Oryza sativa Japonica Group: one gene and its partners. The protein of the gene in region 3 interacts with the protein of the main gene of each other region in a pairwise test. Links are inferred from orthologs where the notes say so. Each region holds a gene or a part of one and is shown on either strand. Other genes may lie near its edges. The genes, in order: protein DROOPING LEAF, ARM REPEAT PROTEIN INTERACTING WITH ABF2 and protein indeterminate-domain 16.

Region 1 (4,113 bases), on a different chromosome or scaffold from region 3:
TTTCTATAAATTTAATCAAACTTGAAAAATTTTGACTAAGAAAAAAGTCAAACGACTTATAATATGAAATGGAGGGAGTAATTACAAAATAAAACTGAGAAACCTACTACATTCCTCAACAACTCAAATGCCAGTTAAGGAAGATATTCTCTAAAGATTTCACACCACACAAGCTCCAAAGTTTCATTTCCGATCCTCCATAGAAAAAAGAAACTCCTAGATATTTCAATTTTCAAAAAACATTTCAAAAATCTATAAACTGCAGAGATTATTTTAGGTGCTCTGAGAACTAACACCTAGATATTTAATTAGGAACCTGGCTAGCTAGGGGTATATGTCAAGCAGTACCGGTACTATCTTCCGAGTCAGAGAGAGAGGGAGCAATTGGACCATTCACAATTTGAGGGCACAGTACAAGGCACAACTGGATGGGATGTAGTACTACTGTGGCTTCGCCACCGGATCGGATGGACACCACTCTAGCTAGTTACTGTAAGCATATGCTATAGCTAGCTATAGGAGCAAACATATACTGTTCCCATAGCCTCGAGATGCATATGATATTACGATGTGTAGTGTACATGTACACATATGGAGAGAGAGAGAGAGAGATAGAAGAGACCTGTCAGATCACTATGCTGAGTTACACATATATACGTACATGAAAAAGTCTTTCTACACGTTATAAGAGAATATCCCGTGCTTCTTACACACCATCTCTATATTTTTTCAAAAAGAGAAATTTTACCGTTCTTGAGAAAATATCGAGATACTAAACGTTAGTAAATATGGTTCTCTAGGTATCTTTTTAATGATGGTAAAATTACCATTTTAAAAAAGATGTTTCTCTTTTTCGTTTCGACAAGATAGAGCGGTGTATGTTGATATATCCATCCATCCAACCATGGATCTCATCTCGCTATCTATCTTAGCTTTGCTTGCAACATTTGCCTCGAAAGAAAGAAAGAAAGAAAAGGAAAAATAAAAACTTTTCTGGTGCTCGCTCTCCCGATCACTGTGGTTGGTCTCGTGCGTACGGGGTCCATGTGTGCGTGGGACCCCCTCGCCATTATTGCAACAATAGAAACCCTACCCCATCCTTCCTCCCGCTGTGCCCAACTCTCCCCCCCCCCCCCCCTCTCTCTCTCTCCTCCTTCCCGTCTTCTTCCTCCGGCCTCTTCTCCTCTTATTGCCCTTGATTCCCCCGCACCACCGCTCACACTTGCTCCTCCTCCTCCTCCTCCTCCGCCTCAGTGCTAGGGCTAGCTTGCTTGTCGCCGTCGCCGCCGTCGTCGCCGCCGCAATGGATCTCGTGTCGCCGTCCGAGCACCTGTGCTACGTGCGCTGCACCTACTGCAACACCGTGCTCGCGGTAAACTCCTCGAGAAACCGGAGCAGCGGCTTAGCTTCGCATGCAGAGAACGATCGATATATGCTGCTGCTAGCTGCAGCTGCACCATGGCCTTCGTTCTTTGGTTATCTTTTGAATTGGACAAGAGAGCAAAGAACAAAGTGTTGGTTCTGTCTCGTGATCTCCTGCTGCTGCAGATTGCAGAGAGGGCTCTCACTTTGGTTTGGTCCAATCCTTTGGCTTGCTTAATGTGCATCATGGCATATGCTTACTCTCACACAGGACACAGTGAGAGAGAGCTAGCTAGATAGCTGGGACCAAATCCAGCTTCTTGCTTGCTCTCTCTGTGTCCTGAGGAGCTAGCTGCTAAGCTAGTGGAAACTTCCACTGGGGATTGTTCATGACACGTGATTGATGTGCCCTTGCTGTCTTCCTGCATGGTGTTTTATTGGCTAGCTCTCTTTTTCTTTCTTAGATAAAATTCATTGGCCATAGCTCTTGATATGATGCTTTGTGGTAGAATGTTCTACTCAGCTGGTTCTCTCGCAGTGTCATGTTCCATCTTTCGCTTCCATTATATCCCCTTCTTTCATTGTTACCAGCTGCAGGCTGCATTTTTAAACTGGACAAGAATCCAATTTAGTAGTACCTGCATCTTCTGTTCTTCCATTAAAAAACAAGTACTACTGAATCTTCTCTTCTTCCTTTTCTTTTTCCCTCTCTGTTTTGCATATCCCACTTTATTTGCTTGCTCCATCTAGATTCCTTCCACACAGATATGCTGTTCTCCTCTACTTTTTCTCCTTAAGGACAGTGCCATGCAACAAAGAGATGAAATTAACGAAGAAAGTATTGGCTTAATTGCATGATGTGATTAATTAATTTTTCGTCTTTTGGGTAGCTGCAGGTTGGAGTCCCATGCAAGAGGCTGATGGACACCGTGACCGTGAAATGTGGCCACTGCAACAACCTCTCCTTCCTCAGCCCGCGGCCGCCGATGGTGCAGCCGCTCTCCCCAACTGATCACCCCTTGGGCCCGTTTCAGGTCAGTCCTCTCCTCTAGCTAATTAAGCTAGCGTTTCATTCTTTTCTCTCTCTCTTTCTCTGAATCTCCTTGCAGTTCTTGATATTTTTCCTCCTCTTTCTTCTTCTTCTTCTTCGTCGTCTTGATCTTCTTCAGTTCTCGTGTTGCTGTTTCTAGCTACTTTCTCTTTTCTGCATATGGGTAGCTTCTTGCGAGGAGAAAGGCTGGCGATAAATCTTTCTCCTTATACAAGAAAGGGAAGACATATAATTAAAGAAATTATTAATTGCACATGGAGAGTGGGACTTTTTTTTCTCATGAAATATGGTTTAGCAGAGCTTTGGGGTGTTCTTTTGTTCGGTTTCTCTCTCCTCTTTTCCCTTCTCTCTCTAGCTCTCTGTGTCCTGTCTCGGCTTTATGGAGCCACTCAGAATACTGTTTGCAAGGCAAGATTAAACAAAGCTGGATTGCAAAAGATTTCTCTCTTGCCCATCTGTGGCCTGGGAAAGCCTCATGCTGCAAAAGCGGCCGGCCAGTTCATCTTTTTTTTTTCTCAGGCAGCATATGCTGCTAGCAGCTGCTCTACTGTGGCATTCATGCCTCTCCAAATTAAACCTGCATTTTTATTTATTTACTTCTTTTTTTTTATTTTGGTGTGGAAAGATGCATTCATTGCCTGTTTTCCGAGTTGACTAGTATAGCTACTTCTACCCAAGCAGGGAGAGAGAGAGAGAGAGAGGGAGAGAGAGAGAGAGAGAGAGAGAGAGAGGGAGAGAGAGAGAGAGAGAGAGAGAGAGAGAGAGAGAGAGAGAGAGAGAGATCTGAGAAAATAGTTAGGAAATGATGATTTTATCATCATCCAACTACTACTACTACTACTACTACTACTACTACTACTACTACACTGATCCATGCATGGCAAGCGTTTGAGAGATCTTGAAATGTGCTAGAGCTGGAAGCTAGTAATTAACCTTGGTTGCTTCTTGTGTTGGATATTTCTTGGTGTTAGGGACCTTGCACTGACTGCAGGAGGAACCAGCCGCTGCCGCTGGTCTCGCCGACATCAAATGAGGGTAGCCCAAGAGCACCCTTCGTTGTGAAGCGTAAGTAGCAAAGCAACTATATGCACACTTCACTTGCTATATCATACACGTGCATATATACCAGCTAGAGTAGATATCAATATCTTTCTAATTAAATTTCTTGCTTGCTTACTGCTCATTTATATCAGTCATTCAGTCTCTCCTTAGTTTCTTGCTAATTGTTAACTGTCTTCTTCTGACGAGTCCTTCACTAGCTCTCTGTGTCTTGTGTTCACATGGAATATATAAATATGAACAAACAGCTAGCTAGCATATCTTGTGTTTCCTCTGACAAATGTTTTTATGTCTTCCATTGTAGCCCCAGAGAAGAAACACCGCCTCCCATCTGCTTACAACCGCTTCATGAGGTGAGAAACTATTTACCTATTTGTCCATGCATTTATCTTATATATATGCTTGTGATCCCTAATATGGTTTGCACTCATGTGATCTTATATATATTTTTTCTATTTGTTCTGAGTTTTTTTTTGAGGGAGCTAGTAGTGGTTCAATATTTTTTTTATTTGTCCTGTACTATAAACTCTATGAGATCTGCACCTGTTTTGGGAGAAAGTTTCGATTTTATTGAAGGGGATTTATCCCCTTCTAAAAGAAGGAAGAATATACATAAAATAATTTATCATCCAAGGTCAGGA
Region 2 (3,325 bases), on a different chromosome or scaffold from region 3:
TCAATGTGATATGGACTGAACTACGATGTGGTAATGCCCATGCATTGATTTTATTTTGTATAATCAATGCATTAAAAGGGTTTTTTTGTTAGAAATAAACAAAACAGTACATGTTTAGGGGAAATTTGTGTAATGCAACAAAACTAGCTAATTGTTGGCTGACAATCTTGTTTGATTAGTATTTTGACAGGAAATTGGAGGTGGATGTATAATAGCTGTAAATAAATATGCAACACAGATTCTTGGCTTCTTGGTTGTGCGAATTATGTGATAGCTGCGGAAAATTGTTGCAAAATATTAACTAAAGGAACAATCCTGTACATTCATCGCCAATATTTCATTAAGAAGCTTAGGGTTACTAGGATGTGAATATTAATAGCTAAGTTTAATGCTAGTTTTAAGTTGAAAAAAGAAACATTAGTTTACATAACTTATAACATACTGTAACATTTCAGTTGAACCACCCAACAGTTTTTCAAACTTGTACTATCTTAAGTTAATTTTGGAGCAGTCTATGATAATAGTTTTTTAAGACCTATGTGTTATTTGACTCGTCAGTAGCGGTAACATTGCCTTTAATCATGTTCTTGTTGCCTTACCTCGAAATTTCAAAGTTTTTATCATGATATTGGTGGTACAACTGTTGCCATGAAATTCTAGAAGTATGATTGACTGATATTCCCCATGGCTCATGTAAACTAAATAATAGAAACATCTGTCATAAATACTGATATAAATGGTGCTTCATCTCGCAAATTGCACAACAGCCTCGTCACACTTTCACACTTATTTATATACGTTTCATCCTAGTCAACACTATGCATGATTTCCCATTCATGTCTTTTAAGATGTGTGACCTTCAGGCCATCTGCTTTCTGAGCAAACCAAGCATTTATTTCCTTTGTTAGGCTTTTGTAGGACAAAACTTTTAGGAACTTTGTCAGACATGACCAAGTTGTTGCAAGATTTGAATTCACTCAGGCAGTATGTATGCATCTGTGCATTTCTATGGATTATTTTTATCCTCAGCCTTCAGAGCATAGCGCACATAGAATTCAGATATACTGCCATCTGAATTTATATGCCGGATAGTCTGTTCCTAATTAGCAGTCAGTCCTATTAATAAGGTGTTATCTCAGTAAAACCTAGTTTGTGCAATGCTGGATTCGAATATATCATTTGGAGCAATTGGTCCATCAACAGTGCTGGCAATCCCTGATACTTAATGTATTTTCTTCATTGTAGGTTTATCTTGGTGAGCAATATGTGAACAGTTCGACACTTTCAGATGTTACCTTCTTGGTGGAAGGTTGGTATTTTATCTGTGGACCCAGTTGTCACCAGAAAGTCACTTTAGATACTTCGATCTTTTCCATAGAATCCATGTAAATCATATTCCTGTTGTCTCCAGGAAAGCGCTTTTATGCACATAGAATTGCATTACTTGCTTCTTCGGATGCATTTCGTGCAATGTTTGATGGCGGATATAGGGTGAGTCTTGTGTAGCATTTCTTTTTTCGTTTGGTACATGTGGATTTGTTTCTTAGTGGAACAATTCTTGTTGAGGTATATTTTTTCATTTTTTAAAGAACCTCAATGTGTCTTGACTCGAATACTATTTTTCTTAACCAGGAAAAGGACGCGAGAGACATAGAAATTCCAAATATCAGATGGAATGTGTTTGAACTCATGATGAGGTAAGTCAGCTTTGAGTTCTCTTCCTCCTTGGCCATGGACGCTTTGCTTCTGTGCACATATCTGTAATTGTTATTATTCTTTTCTGGTTTGTGGGCAAATGCCTGCTAAACTAGAGTCTGAATATCCTATTTGGTATATGCAGATTTATCTATACAGGTTCAGTGGAAGTAACTAGCGATATCTCTCAGGATCTTCTTAGAGCTGCTGATCAGTATCTATTAGAAGGCCTCAAACGTCTGTGTGAATATACAATTGCGCAGGTAATTAGGATTGTTACCTGTATGCTATGCTCAAAATGCTGGCTTGGTCTTATTTAATATATCTGCCTTGCAGGATGTGAATGTAGACAACGTTTCTGACATGTATGACCTATCTGAAGCTTTTCATGCAATGTCACTCAGACATACATGTGTCCTATTTATCTTGGAGCAGTTTGAAAAGATTTGCGTCAAATCTGGGTACACTTCCTCACCTAGTGTCCTGTTCCTAGGTCCAAATGTTTGTGTTATGTAACTCATTTTAGGTAACAGAAATCATTTGCCATGCCATTTTGCAATGCAGGTCAAGCCAGCTGATCCAGCGTGTCATCCCAGAGCTCCGCAACTTCTTCGCTAAGGCGCTAAGGCCAAGCCACAGGAATGCGCAGCCATGAGTCCGTGCCCCTTCCACAATCCTTGACACCACCCACACATCTGACAGTCGCTTCGGGAGATCTTGTACAGCTAAAAGTTTCTTTTTCTGGCGTTGGACATTGGCATTCGATGGCACCAACAACATTGTAACATCCTTTTATTCGACTAAAACAGAGCCCAAATCATGGTAAGAGCATATGGCTTAGCCAGCCATGTCTCGGACCAGCCTAGGCTGGGATAGGTTTACTTCGTTTCGCCTTGGCATAGTCACCGAGTTTAGGGCCACTTTCCCAGTCCAGAGCTCCGTGTATGTCCGTCTCTTTGATGATGCAGAGGATAAGATCGATCTGTGTATTAGTGCTGTAGTTGCAATCAGTTTCGTCTCCTTCGTGTTGTTTAACAATGCAGAAATGCTAATCAGATTGGCGTTTTCTCCCAACTTGTCCCTCGTCATGGTCCATGTATATACTGATATGCAGTAGATGCATATGGATTGTATTGCGGTCCAGCCTGACGTCGGTAGACGGGGACAAATACGGTGGCAGGCGCCGCCATCTCGTCAGCGGCTTAATCGGTTGTCTTTGTCCCACTGGATATTCGGCGGAAGAATAGCCGGATTTATTTTTCTGCCCTGCTCTAATAATTTCTGTATCTCTATTTAAATTTGTTTGCTTCTGTGATCTTCTTGGAAATATTCTGACATAGAAACAATAATATCAGCCGATTGATATTTAGAACAATACTACTACTAGTATAGTAGTATCAACCAACTGACCAAGCCCCATAAGCAATGCGCAAATGGTGTCGTGTTGTCCACTAATGTTCCGTTAAGTAACTAACCTCTTCGCATGTCTGAATTCTGAGAACACTAAAATTTCGATGAACCAACCACCCAAGTTTTCTAGGTAAGCTACCACTTGAAATGCTCAAGTAGAAAAAATGCATGGGCATTGACTTCCAAACTTCAACTCTATATTACAACTTCTATAAAACGC
Region 3 (4,401 bases):
CGATTTGGTCACTAGTGACCATTACCTCTGACGGGTCAGACGGGATAACGTCACCGGTGAGCCATCCGGCCGCGGACCGTCACAGGTATCCCCTCACCTGTGACGGGCCGAAAGGAAAACCCGTCAGAGGTATACCAGTGACGAGTTTTGCTTCCAACCCGTCACTGGTATCCCCTCACCTGTGACGGGCCGATACATTAGAAGCCGTCAGAGGTGATGGGCCGCCACCTGTCATCAGTGACGGGTCGTAAGTTACAACCCGTCAGAGATGAGTCATCAGTGACGGTCAGGTAGTTACGACACGTCACTGATGACTCATCTGTGACGGGTGACAAGTTTTAACCCGTCAGAGATGACTTATATACCGGTCAGAGATGGGTTATCTGTGACGGGTGTTTCATCCGTCACAGGTGATTTTGTCATCAGTGACCACTAATCACTGACCAAGACCAAACCCGTCAAAGGTGAGGGTTTGGGCCCGTCAGAGATGACCTGGTCCGGCGTAGTGCGTATTCATTGATAGTGAGACATGTGGTAACGCTATCAATCTCAAGATATACATGACTAGTCTTCAATGGTAAGGTGTGTGCGCCGCTCATGCCTATACTATGTTTTGAAAGAAAAAAAAAAGCAAGCCACACCCACATTTTTTCTTAAAAAAAAAGGGAAATGAGCTCAAACGCCGTTTCACGATAGAGCACCTCCCATCATTAATAGGTTCGTATTTGAATGAAATTAATGGTTAAAGTTATACATTGCAGACCGTGCAAAAAAAATTATATACTTTATATTTTAGGTATTGATGTCGTATTTGCATCGAATATTTTGATTTGATAATTCCAATAACACAGAAATAAGAATAAATAAATGGAAAATATTTTTTTTTTGCACAGCATATGTGGCATGCCCTCCAAGCAAATGTACCCCTTTTCTATTTTAAAAAATAAACTATGGTCTTTAGCACGCACATATATATTTATATTGCACATAAATATATTCCTTTATATATAAAAAGGTTATTTATATTGCATGTTGTATTTTAGTTAGTGCACTCTCATATATATACACACTACCTCCATTTCATATTATTTCATATTATAAATTATTTTGAAGTTTAACCAAATTTATAAAAAATCTAAGAAACATAATTAATTTCATTAAAACTAACATTTTATATAATTTAATAAAATGATTGTTCTATGTTAAAAATGTTTTTATTTTTTTAGAAACTTTATCAAACTTAAAAATGTTATGACTTAAAAATAAGTCAAAACGACTTATAATATAAAACAGAGGAAGTATCTAATATATGTACTCTCTTCCAAAAACCTCTTTTATTTGGAACCCAGCCGTAGCCGGACCCAGAGTATATCCATGCTGCAATTGCAACGTTTTTGCAAAGCCACCGGTTTTAGGACAGGGAAGAAGACCCAATAAAACACCTACCAACTCCGGCCATCCCCCCTCCCTCCCCCACACACCCCCTACATGATACAATCCTAAAAGAAAGCTGCTAAAACCTAAAGCTGGTAGAAAGCTGCCTCCCCTCTCCTCTCCTCTCCTCTCTCATCTCCCCCCTTTGGTGTTGTCTGTGTAGCAGCAAAGCCAAAAAAAACAACACTGCTCCAAACACCTTTGCTCCTCATCCTCCTCCTCCTCCCTCTCGATTCCTAGCTGTACTCACTCACTGCATCTCCTCCTCCCCTTTTCGTTTGTTTATTCTCTTCTCCGGCTTCCTCGAGCTCGCCTTAGCTAGAAGCCTGTGGCCCCGTGATCTCTCACTGTTGTGGCTTATATAGAGATAGATATCCGGCTCGGTTCCATTGATCCGTTCTTGTGGAGTTGTGTGATCAGAGCTGGAGAGATTGGCTAGGTTGGAGGAGGAAGGGGAATTCTTGGTTGTAAGGGAAGAGGTGGGAGTGGTCACCGGCGGTGCGCGCGCGGAGGCGGACATCATGCTGAGTTCTTGCGCGCCGACGGCCGTGCCGCCGCAGGATGCGTCCGGTGCGGCGACGGAGCCGTTCCGGTCTCTGCAGATCGCCACCGCCGGTGCCGCCGCGAAGAAGAAGCGGCGGCCAGCCGGGACACCTGGTAAGTGGAGCTCTATACACACATCCAATTACACCGGCTACGTACGCGCGTTCTTGCGCCGGTCGGTGTTTGTCTTGAGGAGGTAGCTAACGAGCACATCTGTGGGCAATGGCGCGCGTCGCCGGCCGGCGGGAGCAGACCCGGACGCGGAGGTGGTGTCGCTGTCGCCGAGGACGCTGCTGGAGTCTGACCGGTACGTGTGCGAGATCTGCAACCAGGGGTTCCAGCGCGACCAGAACCTGCAGATGCACCGGCGGCGGCACAAGGTGCCGTGGAAGCTGCTGAAGCGGGAGGCCGGCGAGGCGGCGCGGAAGCGGGTGTTCGTGTGCCCGGAGCCGACGTGCCTCCACCACGACCCCTCCCACGCGCTCGGCGACCTCGTCGGCATCAAGAAGCACTTCCGCCGCAAGCACAGCGGCCACCGCCAGTGGGCGTGCTCCCGCTGCTCCAAGGCCTACGCCGTCCACTCCGACTACAAGGCTCACCTCAAGACCTGCGGCACCCGCGGCCACACCTGCGACTGCGGCCGCGTCTTCTCCAGGTACGGCCACCGCCACCGCCACCGCCGCCGCCGCATCTCCATGCATCCATTAATCTCATATTCTCACATTTAACATGCCAATTACATATCGCTCCAAATCTTTTACACACCTAGATAGTACTATACAATCTTCTCCTTTGCAATAATCTTTGTCAAATGCGGGCGAGAAAGGCGTGATGATTTTTTTCTGGAGAATTTTTGCGGGGTCGCTTTGCCATTGTAGGCCTCATCAGCAACACCCTTTATGAGCAGTAGCATATCTATATTCATTCATGCCATCCTCTGGTACGAGTATTTACTCCCAGGAGGGGAGTAGTATTGTGGCATCAACAGGAAAGAGAGAGAGAGAGGTAGCTAGCCTAGCTGAGAGATGTGGCAATGTAGCGCGAGCTCTGCAGGCACAATTCCCGATGACGCCCTGGCTATCAATCGATGTGTGTGGCTGTGGCCTGGCCGTCCGTGTGGGCGTAGCGTATGCATCATACATATACTACGGCACTGGCCATTGCTTTGATGTTAGCTTGGCTTGTGTTTTGCCTTTGCAGGGGCTCCATTTAATGCAATGCCACGGCCACGAAACCCAGGCTATGCTATTGCTAGCAGCTGGTTGCAGGGCCCAAAATTTCACGCCTGACAAAACCCCCCTGATCGCCTCCTTGGCTTCTTCTCCGTCCGCCTCAGTATCTCACCCATGCGCATAGAATACTAGTGTAATCCAAAGCTAAGCTATAGCTAGAGACTTTTCTTTCTGGCTGTTTATGTTGCCGGTTATTAGTACCACCTCGCTTGTTTGGTGCCGCGTGGGGGTTGTTTTTAGTGGCGCTAACGAGATGCGGCGTGTGGATGTTGATGCGCAGGGTGGAGAGCTTCATCGAGCACCAGGACGCGTGCAACGCCGGCAGGCCACGCGCCGCCGAGGCGTCATCGTCCCCGGGACGCGGCGGTGGCGTCGTGGTTGGTGCGCCGGCGGCAGCATCGTCGTCTCAGCAGCAGCAGCTTTTTGCGGTGCCGGCTTCGTTGTCGCGGACGGCGTCCAGCGCCAGCCCGTCGAGCGACCTGGTGGTGAGCCCGGTGGCCTGGCCTGCTACTGGTGGTGGTGGTCCGGCAATGGTGAGTCCCCGTGCTGCGGCGCCGGCTCCTGCTGGCGGTAGCATCGCGGCGTTCCACCACCGGTTCACTGACCCGGCGCTGTCGCCACCGACGCCGTGTGGTGGCCGGCGAGGAGGATGCCACACTACCCACAGCCTGGAGCTGCAGCTCATGCCACCGCGCACCACCACCACCTGCGCAGGCGGCAGCCTCGGTGGTACTCCAGTTGCCACCGCCGTTGGGTACTACGCTTCCTCTTCGCCGCATTCGCCTGCTGCTGCTCTTCCGTCGCGGCAGCCGGTCGCCGACGCAATGCGGCTGCAGCTCTCGATCGGGTTCGGCGGCGCACGCGATGATGGCAACAACAACAGCAGCAGCAGCAGCGGCGAGGTGTCGGCCTCGGCGACGAGGCTGAAGGAGGCCGCCCACGAGCAGCTGCGTCTGGCGATGGCCGAGAAGGCGGCCGCGGACGAGGCGCGCGCGCAGGCGAAGCGGCAGGCGGAGCTCGCCGACCAGGAGCTGGCGACCGCGCGGCGGATGCGGTACCAGGCGCAGGTGGAGCTCAGCCGCGCGCACGTGCTCCGCGACCACGCCATACGCCAGGTCGACGCCACGCAGCTGCAGATCACCTGCTACAGCTGCAGCCACAAGTTCCGGGCGAGAGCGGCCGCCATGATCAG

Evidence for each region.
Region 1: the proteins of protein indeterminate-domain 16 (region 3) and protein DROOPING LEAF interact in binary tests that used the Arabidopsis thaliana proteins (3 or more experiments, as listed by UniProt). The link is inferred for Oryza sativa Japonica Group from reciprocal best matches to the Arabidopsis thaliana genes SGR5 and CRC.
Region 2: the proteins of protein indeterminate-domain 16 (region 3) and ARM REPEAT PROTEIN INTERACTING WITH ABF2 interact in binary tests that used the Arabidopsis thaliana proteins (3 or more experiments, as listed by UniProt). The link is inferred for Oryza sativa Japonica Group from reciprocal best matches to the Arabidopsis thaliana genes SGR5 and ARIA.

The regions. Positions count from the first base shown.
Region 1 is NC_089037.1:6,087,527-6,091,639, forward strand, and holds the start of protein DROOPING LEAF, read left to right. Parts: upstream 1-1,202; 5' UTR 1,203-1,303; coding exon 1,304-1,372; intron 1,373-2,252; coding exon 2,253-2,396; intron 2,397-3,384; coding exon 3,385-3,478; intron 3,479-3,776; coding exon 3,777-3,825; intron 3,826-4,113. UniProt on the Arabidopsis thaliana protein: Transcription factor required for the initiation of nectary development. Also involved in suppressing early radial growth of the gynoecium, in promoting its later elongation and in fusion of its carpels by regulating both cell division and expansion.
Region 2 is NC_089039.1:19,470,111-19,473,435, reverse strand, and holds the end of ARM REPEAT PROTEIN INTERACTING WITH ABF2, read left to right. Parts: intron 1-1,245; coding exon 1,246-1,309; intron 1,310-1,411; coding exon 1,412-1,491; intron 1,492-1,632; coding exon 1,633-1,697; intron 1,698-1,840; coding exon 1,841-1,958; intron 1,959-2,031; coding exon 2,032-2,156; intron 2,157-2,259; coding exon 2,260-2,350; 3' UTR 2,351-2,769; downstream 2,770-3,325. UniProt on the Arabidopsis thaliana protein: May act as a substrate-specific adapter of an E3 ubiquitin-protein ligase complex (CUL3-RBX1-BTB) which mediates the ubiquitination and subsequent proteasomal degradation of target proteins.
Region 3 is NC_089042.1:23,109,642-23,114,042, forward strand, and holds the start of protein indeterminate-domain 16, read left to right. Parts: upstream 1-1,486; 5' UTR 1,487-1,955; coding exon 1,956-2,091; intron 2,092-2,229; coding exon 2,230-2,632; intron 2,633-3,489; coding exon 3,490-4,401. UniProt on the Arabidopsis thaliana protein: Transcription factor involved in inflorescence stems gravitropism, probably by regulating starch accumulation in amyloplasts of graviperceptive cells. Required for stem circumnutation movements. Regulates lateral organ morphogenesis and gravitropic responses.